4 linked regions of the Callithrix jacchus genome follow. The main gene of each other region encodes a partner of the protein of the gene in region 2 in a complex. Links are inferred from orthologs where the notes say so. Each region holds a gene or a part of one and is shown on either strand. Other genes may lie near its edges.

Region 1 (3,513 bases), on a different chromosome or scaffold from region 2:
GGGAAGCGTTGAGGAGCTGTGAGGAGTGGTACAGAAAAACTCAGTCTGAGCCGGGTGTGGTGGCTCATACCTCTAAGCCCAGCTACTTGGGAGGCAGAGGCATAAGAATTGCTTGAACCTGGGAGGTGGAGGTTGCAGTGAGCTGAGATTGTGCCACTGCACTCCAGCCAGGGAGACCGTGTCTCAAAACCCAAACCAAACAGATATTGCTATAAAGACAATTACTGGGGAACTAGTGAAGTTTAAAGAGGGGCTGCATATTAGATCGCACGTTAATGTCTGTTTCCCGAACTGAATATTGTACTGGAGTTACCTAAGAGAATGTCCATGCATGCTCATGTATTTACGGGTAAAGGGCATGATGTCTGCAGTTTACTCCCAAATGACTCAGCAAAAGTAATGACAATTGTAACACCTACACAGGCCAAGTGAGGGGCTCACGCCTGTAATCCTAGCACTTTGGGAGGCCGAGGTGGGAGGCTTGCCTGAGGTTGGGAGTTCAAGACCAGCCTGGCCAACATGGTGAAACCCCGTCTCTACTACAAATACATAAATTAGCCTGTCAAGATGGCGGGCGCCTGTAGTCCCAGCTACTTGGGAGGCTGAGGCAGGAAAATTGCTTGAGCCGGGGAGGAAGCGGAGGCTGCAGTGAGATTGCACCATTGCACTCCATCCTGAAAGACGAAAGAGCAAGACTCTGTCTTAAAAAAAAAAAAGTCAGTCTGGCTGTCATAAGAGGTCAGATCCGAGAGGAGCCCAGAGGAAGGGAAGGTGTGGTGAGGGGTGCCCAGAAGTCACCATTGGAAGGGCTGAGTTTGAGGGTCCTGTGAGCCACCTGAGAGGAGGCGGCAAGGTGGGGACTGGAGACGGGCTGGGAATGGATGTAACTGAACCCCTGGGCGTGGGGGTGACGGGCTCCAGTCTCTGAGGATCAGGGAGAAGAGGAGTGGCTGGGTGGCGTCCAGGGCGCATCAGTGGGACCCTGGGGAGAAGAGTGTGGGCACCAGCAGCGGTGCATGTGTAGTGATGGGAAGAGGGTCAGCGCCTCTTTCATGGGGGGCAGGTGAGGGGCTGTCCCCTGTGGTGGGAGTGGCACTGCTGACCCTGGGTTGGGGCCCACAGGGCACAGCCAGCAGCGAGGTCAATGCCACCGAGGAGATGTCCACGCTTGTCAACTACATTGAGCCTGTCAAGTTCAAGTCTTTTGAGGCTGCTCGAAGTGAGTAGGCGTGGGCGGCTGGTGTGGGAGCTTGCCCAGCTTATCCCTGCCAGGCCTGACGCCCTCTCCTGGCTCACCCCACAGAGAGGAACAAATGCTTCGAGATGTCGTCCTTCGTGGAGACCAAGGCCATGGAGCAGCTAACCAAGAGCCCCATGGAGTTTGTGGAGTATCCTTTCAAGGCACCGTGGGCGGGCAGGCCAGGGTGGAGTGTCCTGTCCCCGCGTGCGCCTCCTGCACAGGCTGCTGGTCCTCCTGTGGCCCCCGTGCACCCTGGCCTAGGGCTTGGGCAGGTCCAGGCAGTCTCAAGGGGATGGTGAGGCTGAGAAACGGAGGGGCTGGATGTGGGGGGTCACAGGAGCACCTGGCTGAGGCAGGAGGTGGAGGCTGACAGGGTGGGCCCTGGCACCCGTGTGGCCCCTGACCGCCAACCTCAGATACAACAAGCAGCAGCTCAGCCGCATCTACCCCAAGGGCACCCGTGTGGACTCCTCCAACTATATGCCCCAGCTCTTCTGGAACGTGGGGTGCCAGCTTGTTGCACTCAACTTCCAGACCCTGGGTGAGCCCTGGGCTCCGTCTTGACCCTCACCCTCAGTCTTGCTGACTCTGACCCGCGATGCTGCTGGTCTTGCCTAAATGGATTTATGACCCTGTCTAATCCCAGATTCCAGGCGAACCCAGCCCCCGACTCACCCTGCCTCCTGCCTTTGACACGCCAGACCCCTCCCCTGTCTGATCTGCCCCGGATCTGGACCCCGATGCCATTTGAACCCACCCCTGACCCTGGGCCTTGGATGCCATCTGACCCCTGATGATCTCCTGTTCCCCCACATGGCACTGTCCCGCCTGATGCCTGCCCTGCTTGACTTGGCCCCGCTGCCCCAGATGTGGCGATGCAGCTTAACGCGGGCGTGTTCGAGTACAACGGGCGCAGCGGGTACCTGCTCAAGCCAGAGTTCATGCGGCGGCCGGACAAGTCCTTCGACCCCTTCACTGAAGTCATCGTGGATGGCATTGTAGCCAATGCCTTGCGGGTCAAGGTGGGGTCTGGGAGGGCTCAGGCCGGGGGTGTCCTTGGGGCAGGACTCTCGCAGCGGCCTCACCCTCCCTGCTCCCCAGGTGATCTCGGGGCAGTTCCTGTCCGACAGGAAGGTGGGCATCTATGTGGAGGTGGACATGTTTGGCCTCCCTGTTGACACGCGGCGCAAGTACCGCACCCGGACCTCTCAGGGGAACTCCTTCAACCCTGTGTGGGACGAGGAGCCGTTTGCCTTCCCCAAGGTGAGCCGGGCGCCCTCGCCCACGCAGGCACAGGCAGATCCAGACCCGACTGCCCCGGCTCTCAGGTGGGAGAACAGGAACCAGACAGGCTGTTAGTGACTGGGGATCAGAAAGTGGGGGGCGCCCGGGGTCTGCCAGGACCTGCCTTTCCCAGTGTCAGGCTCCCTGTCCTCCTCAGGGGAAGAGACGAGGGTGAGAAGGTGAGATGGGGGTGGGGGAGTGCCAGCTAGAGGTCTTGTGTCCCCTGCAAGGAGTGGACAGAGCCTGCCCTATCTGCAAGGCAGGAGCTGAGGTCACAACCCCAAGCTCACGTCCGCTCTTCTACACCTCCCACAGCCCCGCATGGATGCAGCCTCTGCTCCCAACCTGGGTGGTGTGTTTGCAGCTTCCTACTCGTGGCTCACTCCGTTTCTAAATTGGAGATGACCAGAGCTGTCTGTAGGGGCCCTAGGGGCCTGGTTGCCTGTCGTCTTGCCACGGGGTGCTGATAGCTGTAGTCATCTACTAGGCCAGGCTGTGGAGGTGGGGTCAGCCCTCAGCTCATGGTGATGGTGACTGATGGACAGTGGGTCAGCTCAGCTAAAGGTCTGCTGTTAGGCTTTGACGGCTGTGGTTAGCTGTGGCCTGGTGGCCACAGTGGCCACAGTGGTTCGGGGTCAGCCCCGTGGCTCAGCTCCGGTCTGGCCCGCAGGTGGTGCTGCCCACGCTGGCTTCGCTTCGCATCGCAGCCTTTGAGGAGGGCGGCAAATTTGTGGGGCACCGGATCCTGCCTGTCTCTGCCATCCGCTCCGGTGAGGCCTTGGTGGGCTCTGGGCAGCCCAATGGGCAGTGGGTAGGGGCTCCGCCGGACCCAGCAACCCAACATTGGCCTCCTGCCCGCCCAGGGTACCACTATGTCTGCCTGCGGAACGAGGCCAACCAACCGCTGTGTCTGCCGGCCCTACTCATCTACACCGAGGCCTCGGACTACATTCCTGATGACCACCAGGGTGAGCCATGCCTTGGGGACC
Region 2 (4,252 bases):
TATTTCCCTTAGACATTCAAACCTAGGCCCTTGACAACCCCCCTGGGCTTTAACTCTTAACTGCTGGGAAACCCAGAGCTGTCACTTTTCAGGCAAACTGGGTTGGCTGGAGAGACCTCAACTGCCCAGTTCACAGTTAAACAGAATCAAAGACTGTCAACAGGGCAACAGAAGAAAAAAAAAATTCTTAAAATAAGTCTCTCTAAAATCCGTGCTTTTCACCTTAACCATGCACTTAAACACTCTATGTATTTCTCTTTTTCGCTCTTTTCTTCTCAATCTTGAGAACTCAGAAAACATTCAACTGACCGTTTTCAGTCATTAGAAGTATCTCAAAAATGAGAATTAAAAAAAAAAAAATCTTTACTTTCCAGCGTCAGTATTCCTCTTCCCCTAAGCCCACCTCTTTCATACAGTGCTTTGCCTTCTGTTTTTTGTAAACATGTGCACATTTATCTAGAGTTTCAAAATGAAGACATAAAGAAAGCATGTCATGTAAATTAACCATTAGTAACTATTGGTGTGATCAGTGTATTTTGTTCTTGCTTGTAAATGGTCCAGTACATAAGCAGTTCATTTCCAAAGGCAATTGGTTCCTTGAGCCAGCAAATGGAATGCTCAAGATAAGAAAGAAAATGCATGCTTCTCAAACATCAACTGACAGCACAATATTCTTTTCTTACAGAAATGTTTGAGAAACATATTTATTATACAATTATACATGCAAATATCCAGAACTCAAGGGCAGTCATTTTTCAAGTCTGTTACTGCAAAGCTCTTTGCTCTTCCTATCCCAATAGCTCAGGGTTCTGTCGCTCTGGTTTGTATGTGAACCTCGATCACTTGATTCTGAACATCCTCTCAGAGATAATAATCAATAAATTCCAATTTGAGAAATGGCATTTTCTTGCTAACTTCGTGTTAAAGCAGAATGATTTTTTTTTTCAAGACTAGAGGGAAATTTTTCCTGTATGCTTACCGTTTTCCTTCTAGCCTAGATTCCAAAGATATTAAACTGCTATCTGTTTTAAACAAAAGGCTTCTATTTGTTGCCATGGGAGTAATTGAGAGGCTACATTGGTTTTCAGCAGTAACTATTGTGAATTCAGGCCTACATCTGGGTTGCCTCATTAAACAAAAGATACCGGTCGCTGTCAACAACCACACAGTACAACGCTCCCCTATCCCTCATCTTTATCTAGAAGGAATGGTGCAGACGAGAAACACGCCTGTCACCATCCACTGGCCAAGAAACTCTTCTAGGCTCCCTCCTTTCGAAGGTTTGGTGGCTAGAGAACAGCTCTTGTGTGACACATTTGGGCTGGCCCTCCCGCCCCGCCCCGCCCCCAATACACAGGCCCTTTCTTTGGAGGGCCAACCACTTGGTTTCCTCGTCATCACTGCTCTGGGAATCCAGTTGCGAGTCTGCCCGCCGTTCCCCCATTCCCTCCTGACCCCAGAGGACACTGATCTTGGATGCACACCAGCCACCCCGGCGCAGGCCATCCCCCAATGTGTCCCGGGCTCGGCTCGCCACCCGCTGGGCCACACACACGGCTCCCCACGCCACCAACCCACGGGAAGCCGCGGTCACGGCACTAGAAATTCAATCCCTCTGCCCACCTTTCCACCCCTGCGCCTCTGGCCAGAGTGATCTGCCATTTAGCAGATGCACAGCAGATAAGGCACAGCCCTCAGGGATACGAAAAGGAACAAGCCGAGGCACCGGGCAGGGCAGCCCGACCCCTCTGCTGCGTGCGTGTGTGTACGCGCCCGCGCACCCGCGCGGGTGAAGGCAGTGGCCGGGGGCGCGCCCGGGAGGGTAGGGGCAAGTCCCGGGCGCCGGGGGGCGGGGGACGCCGAGGGCAGCTGCCCCGCGGGGCCGGGGGTGGTGGGCGGGGGTTCGCAGAGGCCCGGCGGGAGGACCCGCGGCGGTCGGCCCCGGGCGGTACTCACCGAGCAGCAGCAGCTTGAGCTCCCGGCGGGCGTCCCGTTTGTCCCTGCGGAGCTGCCGCTCGATCTCATCGTTGATCCTCCGGGCTTCCTTGGCCTCCTCACTCAGGCAGCACGCCATGATGGACTCCAGAGTCATTCTTCCAAAGTGCCTCCGCTGCAGCCCCACCGGCACCCCCTGCTCACAGCGCGCACACACACCCTCCCGCCCTCGCTCCCCCGAGGCAGCGGTGGCCGCCGAGTCCCCGCCGCCCGGGCGCGCGTCCGGTACGAGCTCCCGGAACCGCCGCGACTGCCGCGGCCAGGGCCGGGGCCACCAGGTGGGCCGGGGGCGCGGCGGGAGCGAACTGCCTGGGCCGACTGGAGAAGCGAGGCGGGCGCGGGAGGCGGGCGCTGGCTCGGGGGGCGAGTGAGGGAAGGCCGCCGCGCCCGGCCTCGCTCAGACGCCCGCGCCTCCTTCCCCGAGAATGGGCGTCCCGCCTCGCCCCCCGCGCCGCCGCCGCCGCCGCCTGCGAGGCTCCCCTACGCCGTGCGCCTGGCGGCGAGAGCTCATCCACCGGGGTGTCCCCGCAGCGAGCGGCCGCCGACGGCTTCCCGCGCCCGGCGCGCCCGCTCCTCGCCGCCGCCTGACACGGCTCCCGGGCGCCCTCGGCCCTGTCCGCGCCCACCGCCCGGCTCGCGCGCAGACCCGGTTCCCGGCCCGCCCGGCAGCCGCGCGCTCCTCCGCCCCCGCCTCCGCCTCCGCCTTCGCCAGACGCCCGCCCCCTGCCCCGATTGCCAGGCGCGGAGCGGCTGCTCAGTGCGCGCCCTCCCCCTCGCCACACACACACATTTTCTTCTTTCTCTGAACTGGAGCACAGATCCGGGAGGGAAGAGGCGGCGGCGAAAGGAGGAGGGGGAGGAGGCGGAGGGGACAGGCGCGGGAGGAGGGGAGCCGGGAGGCGGTGCCGCCCGGCCCCTCCCGGAACGCTTTCCTGGGCTCGCGGCCGCCGCGGCGCGCCTCCCAGTGCGGCTCTCGCCTCGCCCGCGCGGCTACCCGGTTGGGCCGGCCCCCTCGGGCTCTGCTGGTGCCTCCTGCTTTCGCACCCTGGGCAGAGGCCGCGAGCGCAGCGGTCACGGCTGCCCCCAGCCGGGGCCGGGCCGGGTCGCCGCCGCGCGGCCGGAGGCAGCGGCCGCCGCTGCTTGTCAGAGCCGCCGCTTACCTCCGGCTGCCGGCCGGCCGGGCGTGGTAAGGCGGGAATATGGCGGCCTCTGCCTGCCTCAGCCCACCGGCCCGGGAGCGCGGCCGCGGCCCCTGCTGAAGTCGCGGTAGGCGGCCCCGCGGAGTCCCGCACGCGCTCCCCGCGGCGCCGGCGCTGGCGTCCGTCGCTCCAGGGCCCTGCCCGTCTGCTCCGCGGGGACGCTCCTCAGCCGCTTCTATGTTTCCCGTTCCTATTTCTAAAACGCCATTCGGTTAGAAACTCTCGCACATCACCTCTGACCCCGGTGCAGTCTTATAAAATAAGATCCTCTCTACTGTGGGGAGGCGACTGAGGAAGGGAAGGAACTGGCACCGGTGTCCGGAGGCGTAGCGGGGGGGGGGAAATTCACAGGAGAAGCAGTTCACAAAGTAACGGGAGATAGAAATCTAAATCCTGAGCAGAGAAAGGAAGCTGCCCAAGTTTCCAAAAGCCCCCAGATAGGTTCCAGCTTTCCATGCCTTTGTTTTTTCGGTTGTTGGTTTTTTGTTGTATTGGGGCGTTTTGGGAAGTTGTTTTTGATTTTGTTTTACAAGTCTTCTTGTTTCTGACAGGGCACACCATGTTTAGCTGCCAAGTAATCGAATTTACCCTTCTACACTGAATTATGGATGACTTCCGGGAAAATGTAAAATAATGTGGAATAAATGGAAAGAATGAAATAGAATAGAAACTAAGATGACCTCAGCAAAATGGCATTCTATTTTTTTTATTTTGGTTTGCCATATTTGAGGCAGTTAACTGTCGTATGCATATTTCATTGTGATCGTCTACTGATAAATAGCACACGAAAATAATCTTGCTCAATCAGGTTTTATTTGGTTTAATAGCTACAGGAGGTGAAACTCATGTTACTTCCTGCCTTAAAGGAACCTGAGGTCTTCAAAGAAAATGGGCTTTTATGAAGAAAACCACCTTTTCACGTTTCATGTGTTCTCTGCAGTGTCCCTAGTGCAACCTGCTGATCCGGAGTGTAAAGTACAGTTCATGACTTTGCTTTTGCTACAGATCAAGAATTCACATAGGCTTCTTAGACAACAGGTGTGTTAACGTCCTTCTTT
Region 3 (3,513 bases), on a different chromosome or scaffold from region 2:
CAAGGGGTTGCCACAGTGGTGTGCAACAGTGGGAGAGACCCGACAGAAGGATATAATTGTAAAATCCTGTGCCCCATCACCTGCCCCAAAAGAATCCAGAAAGGAAGTTCAGGAGGCAGTCAAATAATTTATTATTTCTTGAAGAGTCTGGGTAAGGAAGGAGAGGGCAGGGCCACCATCCTTAACTGGAAAGGGGTGAAGAGACTTTTCAGTGCAGAACAGCCTGTTGGTCAGAGGTATGAGATTATGCCTGATGGTAGTTTCAGTGCTGATTGGGAAAGAGGATTGTGAGGTCAAACTGGGAGCATCCCAGAGTCAGTCCTGTGCCAGGCTCCATAGTCCCTAAAACGATCAATGCCATTAATCTATGTGTGTGAGAAGCAGGTAAGCCCTTGTCAGAGTTCCCACTGTGTAGAAACAGTTCACTGCTAGGGATGCTGTGTCTAAGACGCCTGCCATGTTTCTATGGGCAAGGCTCAGTCCCATATCAGAGGTGTGCCTCCTTTTTTGAGTAGGCTCCATTCTTATTTCTCTTGTGTCAGGTAAGCTACCTTTTCCTGTGCTTGCGGTTAGTCCATGCTACTGGGTGTCGGTCTCCTGCATCAGTTGTGGTTTGTGTTTTCAGTGTCTGGAAAGGGTCAGTGCTTGTCATTTTCCCTGCCTCAGCCCCCAGAGCCCCTCCACTCCTCAGCCAGGCCCCAGTGTGCTGATGGTGGTGTAGCTCAGCCTGGAGAGCGAAGCAATAGAGGGAGTGGGAGGGTCCTCATCGGGAAGAGGCCTGGGGCGAGCCCGTGGAGGCCGGGGGCAGCAGCGAGCGCACGTTTCCAGGCAGGCCTGGCGAAAGCGACGGTGCATGAAGCAGTAGACCAGGGGGTTGACACAGGCCGAGGCATAGCTCAGCAAGTGAATGAAGGAGATGGGAGCACCTGAGAGGGCTCGGTGTGCACCTGGGCCATCAAAGGCGCGCCACGTGTTGGCACTATAAACTGGCAACCAACATAGAAAAAAAAGCATGACAATCACCAGCAACATTCGCACCACGCGCTTCTTAGCCAGCAGCTTGGCCTGGGTGGGCCGGGAGCTGTGTCCCGGCCCAGTAGTGGGTGCCACCAGCGCGGAGAGCTCCAGGGCAGGCCGGGAACGTGGAAGCTGCACGTAGCAGCCATCGCTGTCTTCGCCACCCGCACCAGTCTCAGGCCGGCAACGCCCATTCTGGTGAACAGCACCTGAGCACAAAGGGTGGGCAGTCAGAGAAAAAGGCAAGAGTCCTCCCAATCTTCAACCCAATCCCCACCTGAGCTCGCAGGAGCCATAACCCCATTTCCGGCTTTCTCCTTCCATTATTTCAGCCCCACCCACTCCAGCAGGCCCCGTTGCCCTCCAAAGCTCCGCCTCTCCAGGATTTCGCTCACCTGGTCCAGTCCCTCCAGGCAGCCCGCCTTGGCTTCGGACCCTGCTTTGGCTCTCGCTGTCACTGTCGCTGTCAAAGCGAAGCCCTAAGTAGAGCTCGCGGGAGATAAGCCCGTAGGCCACCGCCATCACCACACCCGGGATGAAGAACAAGAGCAGGAGCAGCAGTACGGACCTGGAGGCAACACAGATCACTCGGGTTTCTGTCCAGCTACAATCGCAGATGGAGAAAGGGCCAAGGACTGGTGTTTCTAGGGCTGTGGCCAGGTACAGGTAGGATTTGGGGGTGCCGCTGGGAAGGGAGAGAGAACTGGGGAGGGGACCCAAACTGGAATTCCAGGGCGGTGGATGCAGAATAGGAATTGGCATGGTAATTCTCCGAGCAGCTGGAGGAAGATTCTGAGCAATGGTCTTAAGCATCTAGTGGGGGTGAGAAGGGAAATCCCAGGACAGGTTGTGGGCAAGCTCACCAGGTCTGGCGGACCCGTGCACTGGGCCAGCGATGCACACACTGCAGCACACGAGGTCCCACTGGTTGCACGATAGTGTACACGGGGTAGGGCACCATGAGCAGTCCGGACAGCAGCCACGTGGCTATGATCACGCGAGCTGCATGGGAGCGTGTCTGCCACACTCGCGCCTGCAGTGGTCGGCAGATGGCGCTGTAGCGCTCCAGTGCGATGGCCACGAGGCTTAGCGTGGACACACTCACAGACACCCCTAAGCAGAGGAAGAGAGAGGAAGGAGTCACCCAGGAAACTTGCACTACACAACCATCAGTGGGACTTCCTCATACCCCTCCCTGCCAACTGGGGAAGACTCCTACATCCACAAGGGCTTTAGGAGGGGAGAGTGGCAAGTAGGGATGGCTTGGTTGTCTCACCCACCCATGAGGTAGGAAACAGCCTTGCAGATGACTGTGCCAAAGACGAATGTGCCCATGAGATTGGGCAGGAGAGTGAAGGGCATGCAAGCCACAGCCAGCAGGAGGTCGCTGACTGCCAGTGAGAGGAGGAAGGCATTGGTGACGGTCCTCAGGCGGCGACTCAGTCCCAGGACCACGATGATGAGCACATTTCCTCCAACACTCATCAGGAAGATCACTGCATAAAGAGTGATTCTAACGGCCAGCTCCAATTCTGGGTAAGAAAAGGGAGAGGTGGCAGTAGAGGTCAGCCTTCATTCAGCCAAACCCCTCTCCATCCTTCTTATCCCCAACCCTCACTACCCTGCCAAATGCCTACATTCCCTACTCATGAACTGCTCAGTAAATGGTGAACTTGAATCCTTTAGCCTTCTAACCCCTTGAACTTTGGTTAACTTGGCCCAACTCTACCTTTCATTAAGAAAGCCTGTCTCTCCTCAAGGTTTGTTCCAAATCTTTCCTTCCCTTTGCAGCCAAATTTGTTATGAGGCTATTTGTGTCTTCTCATTCACTCTTCAATCCATTACAATATTCTGTACCCTATCACTGCATACTTCTTCCCAAGTACACTTACCTTTAACTGCTAAATTCAAAGGTCCTTTCTTAGCCTATTCTATTTGACCTTCCTGGAGTATTCTACACTGTTGGCAACCCGCTACCTTTTGAACCACATCAGATCATGTCTTTATTCTCTAAAAACAAAAGGAAAAATCCCTTCACTTACTCTCTACTGTCTGCAACCCCTCAGAATGTCATCAAGATCCTCCCAGAAGGGACCTCTTCCTCCCCACCCTCACTGCCCCCAGCTCCCGGCAATATACTAATTTAAGCAAGCCACTGGATGACTCAGTTTCTTGAATGCATCAATTGCACTTGTGATTCCCTCCCTGCTCAAGTTGGTTTCTCAGCCCAGAATACTCTTTCACCAACTCTCCCCAGAACTTCCACCCCCTATCACAAGCTTATTTTCTGTATCTGGTGAATTCCTATTCCTCCCTTGTTGGTCAAGACTCAAATTGACAGCTATTTCTTCTGTAAGGCCCTTCTGGACACCTCATTTAGTATTACTCTCCCCTTTCTCTAACCCATGCATGTTTCTTGCACAATGATTAAAGCCTATTTTACTTTCTGCCTTGTATTTTAATTCTTTCCAAACATTCATTCTCACTCTATAAACA
Region 4 (3,513 bases), on a different chromosome or scaffold from region 2:
GGTTTCTGATGAGATGCTACAATTTCACTGTTACCCAATATGTAGGATGGGTTATCCCTGGGAAGTTCTCCTATAGACAGTGAATCTTATCTACAGTCTGCAGTTTTTAAATAGCTTCCACCTCAGAGGGTGGATTCTCAATTATAAACATGTCATGAAATTTTCCAGGTGGAGATTTGGGGTTCCAGATGTCTGTCCACTAATGATACCTTTGTCTAACTTATGACACATTTTCACTGACTGAAGTCTAAATTGATCAGCTATACTGCCATCTGTTTAACCCTTGTTGGATCATCCAGGTTATCTTTCACCCCATTAATACATAGAATTGAATTCTCTGATGGTACACGCCTCCTCTCCACTCCAGCAGGGAGCTATTTCCCGTACAGTTCTCCATAACCCTAATGTCCTCTCCCAGACTATGTACATCATGGGCTTAAACATTGATAAACGAATAACACAGGGAATTCTCATAAATTCAATCACCGATGTTCCTGGAATATTTGACGGAGTTATAAGTTAAATCTAATTTTTTCTTAGAAACATTACCTCAACTCTAGCATGCAGTAGATACTCAACAAGTCTTAGAATCTAGTCTGTTATTTTCTGTACTTTTTGTGGAAATGACCACAAGAATACCATCTATATTTAACTATAAATTACATATTAATGACTACTCAGATTCAAGATGACATTTTCCAGCCTTCTTTTCTACTAAGTGTGGCCCTGTGACTAAATCCTGAAGTGATGTAAGTGACAGTGTTGTGGGATGGCTTCTGGGAACCTTCAAGAAAGCACTTGCAAGTATTCTTTGCTCTCTTCTTCATCCCTTCCTCTGTCTTGCCTCCTGGAAACCAAATGCCTCTATTAGGGACTATAAGGCAAAGACAAACATGTCAGAACCACCAGGTAGAAAGAGTATAGGTGTCCAACATTGTGGAGGGCTGTATCACTCTGGACCACATCCCTAGACATTTATACAAGAGAGAAATATAGTTCAGTCTTGTTGGAGTTGTTCTTTTGAGATTTTTGGCACTCTCAGCCTACCAGAAACCAAGAAGGAAAGCTACTAAACCTATTTTGTGATGATAATATAATCTTGATATCAAAAACATGTAGAATAGTACAAGCAAAGACAATTATAGGACAATATTGTTTATATATGTAGACGCTCAAGTCCTAAGTAAAACATCAGCAAACATAGACCAGCAATGTGTAAAATAATATCAGATCCTAGAAGACTTAGCAGTGAATGTACAGGAATGTAATGATAGCCAAACATTACAAAGTTCATAAATGTAGCTTATTACATTAGTAGAATAAAAGATCAAAGTCCTACAATGTCAGAAGACACGGGGAAAATATCCATTAACATTCAACACCGTCTCAGGTTAAAAACAAAAATTTCATTAATATACGAGTAGAAGGGAATCTCGCTTTACCGTGATAGAGGATGCAGCAACTATAATTTTTTTTGCATTTTAATTTATTTTAAGTTCTGGGGTACATGTGCAGAATGTGCAAATTTGTTACATAGGTAAACGTGTGCCATGGTGCTACACCTACCAACCCATCACCTGGGTATTAAGCCCAGCATGCACTAGTTCTTTTCCCTAATGCATTCCATCCCCCTCCCTTCCCTGACAGCTCCAGTGAATGTTGTTCCCCACCCTGTGTCCATGTGATCCTGTTGTTCAACTCCCACTTAGAATTGGGAACATGAGGTGTTTGGTTTTCTTTTCCTGCAAAATGTAATTTGTAACATAAAGACAAAAACCACATGATTATCTCAATAGATGCAGAAGAAACCATCAATAAAATTCAACATCCCTTCATGTTAAAAGCTCTCAATAAACTAGGTATTGAAGGAACATACTTCAAAATAATCAGAGCCATTTATGACAAACCCATCGCCAGTATCATACTGAATAGGCAAAAACTGGAAGTATTGTCCTTGAAAACTGCCACAAGACAAGGATGCCTGTCTCATCACTTTTATTCAACATAGTATTGGTAGTTCTGGCCAGGGAAATCGGGCAAGAGAAAGAAATAAAGGATATTCAAATAGGAAGAGAGGAAGCAATCATTATTCTTTAATGGGAAAAATTGAGAAGCATTCCTAGTGTGGCTTTGGGAAACAGGGCTCATAGTTTTCATTCAGTGGTCAAATGGGTTGGCAACTCAAGAAGGATCGAGAGCACATCTCTGGGGATACCTTGTCACCATATCTGAAGATGCTGATGTAAGTTGTCCTTTTCCTTCCCCGCCCCTTCCTATCCCTGGGTCATAAGAGTCTTTGCAAACATCAGGTCCAATATTGCCTTTCCATTCCTCATTCCTTAAAGATAATGTTAATCATCTTCTATTGAAGTTTTCTAAAACTCCTTTGTCAAGTCAGTCATTTCTGCTAGAAACAATGACAGTTATTTTACTGCTTTGCATATTTGTAAGACATCTTACAAAGTAGTAGGTAGAGGGGAGACTCATTAAATAGACATTATGGACATAGTAAGAGCCCCACTATGTATGAAGCGTTACTCCAGGCTTTGTACCTGGGGTTACAAAAATGAGTGAGAAGTGCTCTCTACCTTTAAGATACATATGCTGTTGCATATGTATGGGTTTTCTTTGTGGCAACCATATTTTCTGCAAATAATTACAGTTTTATTTGGTCCCTTTCAAAATGTATGCACTTATTTTTCTCATCTGATTCCACTAACTAGGCCCTCCAATGCAGAATTAAAGAGTAGTGGTGATAGTGGACATCCTTGTTTTAAAGGGAAATGCATTTAATATTTTCTCTATACAGATGATGTTTACTATAAGAGGTTTTTGGTACCCTTTTTCGAGTTAAATATATGCTTTTTCTTTATCTATTGATCATATGATGTTTTTCTCCATTAATTTGTTAATTTAGTGAATAATACTTATAGATTTTTCTAATATTAGATTTTTTTGCATTCCTGGGCATAAACCCAACTCAGTCATGATGCATTTTCCTTCTTATGTCCTTTGAGTCTGTTGGCTAGTGTTTTAGGATTTTTCATTCTGTTTTCAAGTAGTAGAAAGTAGTGGTACTCTTCCCAGATCATCATAGAATCCCATGAGTGTGTGTGTATGTATGTGTGCATGCACATGTGTGTGTTGGCCTGTGCACACTTGCCCATAGGCATCTGTCCCTTTCACAGAGATCAGAACCAAGGACTTCTGGACCTCCCTTTGCCTGGAACGGGCCCAGTATCTGCCACACTGATTCTTGTGCCCCAACTCCAACTCCTCCCTCTTAAATGTTTTGAAGAGGCTGTAGGGCTGGCCCCTGACCCTAGAGCTCTAGCCAGTCACTTTTGTGCTGTTGGTCCTCCAGGTGCCCTTCTCCAACTGCAGTCGAGACTGCCTGGCCGGGACCAGGAAAGGGATCATTGAGGGGGAGCCCACCTGCTGCTTTGAGTGTGTGGAGTGTCCTGATGGGGAGTACAGCGACGAGACAGGTAAAAGAACCCTTCTTGTGCACTG

What was found.
Region 1: the proteins of GNAQ (region 2) and PLCB3 are in contact, whole or in part, in a cryo-EM structure (PDB 8UQO), measured with the Homo sapiens proteins. The link is inferred for Callithrix jacchus from reciprocal best matches to the Homo sapiens genes GNAQ and PLCB3. Residues at the interface, in NP_002063.2 of Homo sapiens: Pro185, Thr186, Thr187, Ile189, Glu191, Pro193, Arg202, Gln209, Arg210, Ser211, Glu212, Arg213, Arg214, Lys215, Trp216, Ile217, His218, Val240, Glu241, Glu245, Glu249, Glu250, Ala253, Leu254, Arg256, Thr257, Ile258, Thr260, Tyr261; in NP_000923.1 of Homo sapiens: Pro257, Arg258, Leu259, Asn260, Glu261, Val262, Leu263, Arg707, Asp709, Lys710, Ile719, Asp721, Gly722, Ile723, Val724, Ala725, Ser845, Asp846, Tyr847, Ile848, Pro849, His852, Tyr855, Ala856, Ala858, Leu859, Ile860, Asn861, Pro862, Ile863.
Region 3: the proteins of GNAQ (region 2) and CCKBR are in contact, whole or in part, in a cryo-EM structure (PDB 7F8W), measured with the Homo sapiens proteins. The link is inferred for Callithrix jacchus from reciprocal best matches to the Homo sapiens genes GNAQ and CCKBR. Residues at the interface, in NP_002063.2 of Homo sapiens: Arg30, Arg34, Asp35, Arg37, Arg38, Leu40, Ser198, Val199, Phe341, Lys345, Asp346, Ile348, Leu349, Gln350, Asn352, Leu353, Lys354, Glu355, Tyr356, Asn357, Leu358, Val359; in NP_795344.1 of Homo sapiens: Thr87, Val88, Thr89, Asn90, Glu151, Arg152, Ala155, Ile156, Pro159, Leu160, Ala162, Arg163, Val164, Trp165, Gln166, Thr167, Ile241, Leu245, Gly248, Leu249, Val331, Leu335, His394, Arg396, Phe397.
Region 4: the proteins of GNAQ (region 2) and CASR are in contact, whole or in part, in a cryo-EM structure (PDB 8SZG), measured with the Homo sapiens proteins. The link is inferred for Callithrix jacchus from reciprocal best matches to the Homo sapiens genes GNAQ and CASR. Residues at the interface, in NP_002063.2 of Homo sapiens: His63, Leu196, Gln197, Ser198, Ile323, Tyr325, Ile337, Arg338, Phe339, Phe341, Ala342, Lys345, Asp346, Ile348, Leu349, Gln350, Leu351, Asn352, Leu353, Glu355, Tyr356, Leu358, Val359; in NP_000379.3 of Homo sapiens: Lys644, Ala645, Asn647, Arg701, Val702, Leu704, Val705, Phe706, Ala708, Lys709, Ile710, Pro711, Thr712, Phe714, Phe801, Arg873, Thr876, Ala877, His879, Ala880, Phe881, Val883, Ala884, Arg886, Ala887, Thr888, Leu889.

The regions. Positions count from the first base shown.
Region 1 is NC_133511.1:121,319,168-121,322,680, forward strand, and holds part of PLCB3 (1-phosphatidylinositol 4,5-bisphosphate phosphodiesterase beta-3), read left to right. Parts: intron 1-1,122; coding exon 1,123-1,219; intron 1,220-1,303; coding exon 1,304-1,388; intron 1,389-1,656; coding exon 1,657-1,781; intron 1,782-2,107; coding exon 2,108-2,262; intron 2,263-2,341; coding exon 2,342-2,503; intron 2,504-3,194; coding exon 3,195-3,294; intron 3,295-3,387; coding exon 3,388-3,492; intron 3,493-3,513. UniProt on the Homo sapiens protein: Catalyzes the production of the second messenger molecules diacylglycerol (DAG) and inositol 1,4,5-trisphosphate (IP3).
Region 2 is NC_133502.1:104,909,260-104,913,511, reverse strand, and holds the start of GNAQ (guanine nucleotide-binding protein G(q) subunit alpha), read right to left. Parts: upstream 2,805-4,252; 5' UTR 2,093-2,804; coding exon 1,957-2,092; intron 1-1,956.
Region 3 is NC_133511.1:71,937,180-71,940,692, reverse strand, and holds the end of CCKBR (gastrin/cholecystokinin type B receptor), read right to left. Parts: intron 2,550-3,513; coding exon 2,298-2,549; intron 2,131-2,297; coding exon 1,881-2,130; intron 1,586-1,880; coding exon 1,413-1,585; intron 1,227-1,412; coding exon 688-1,226; 3' UTR 108-687; downstream 1-107. UniProt on the Homo sapiens protein: Receptor for gastrin and cholecystokinin. The CCK-B receptors occur throughout the central nervous system where they modulate anxiety, analgesia, arousal, and neuroleptic activity.
Region 4 is NC_133516.1:80,726,745-80,730,257, reverse strand, and holds part of CASR (extracellular calcium-sensing receptor), read left to right. Parts: intron 1-3,364; coding exon 3,365-3,488; intron 3,489-3,513. UniProt on the Homo sapiens protein: G-protein-coupled receptor that senses changes in the extracellular concentration of calcium ions and plays a key role in maintaining calcium homeostasis.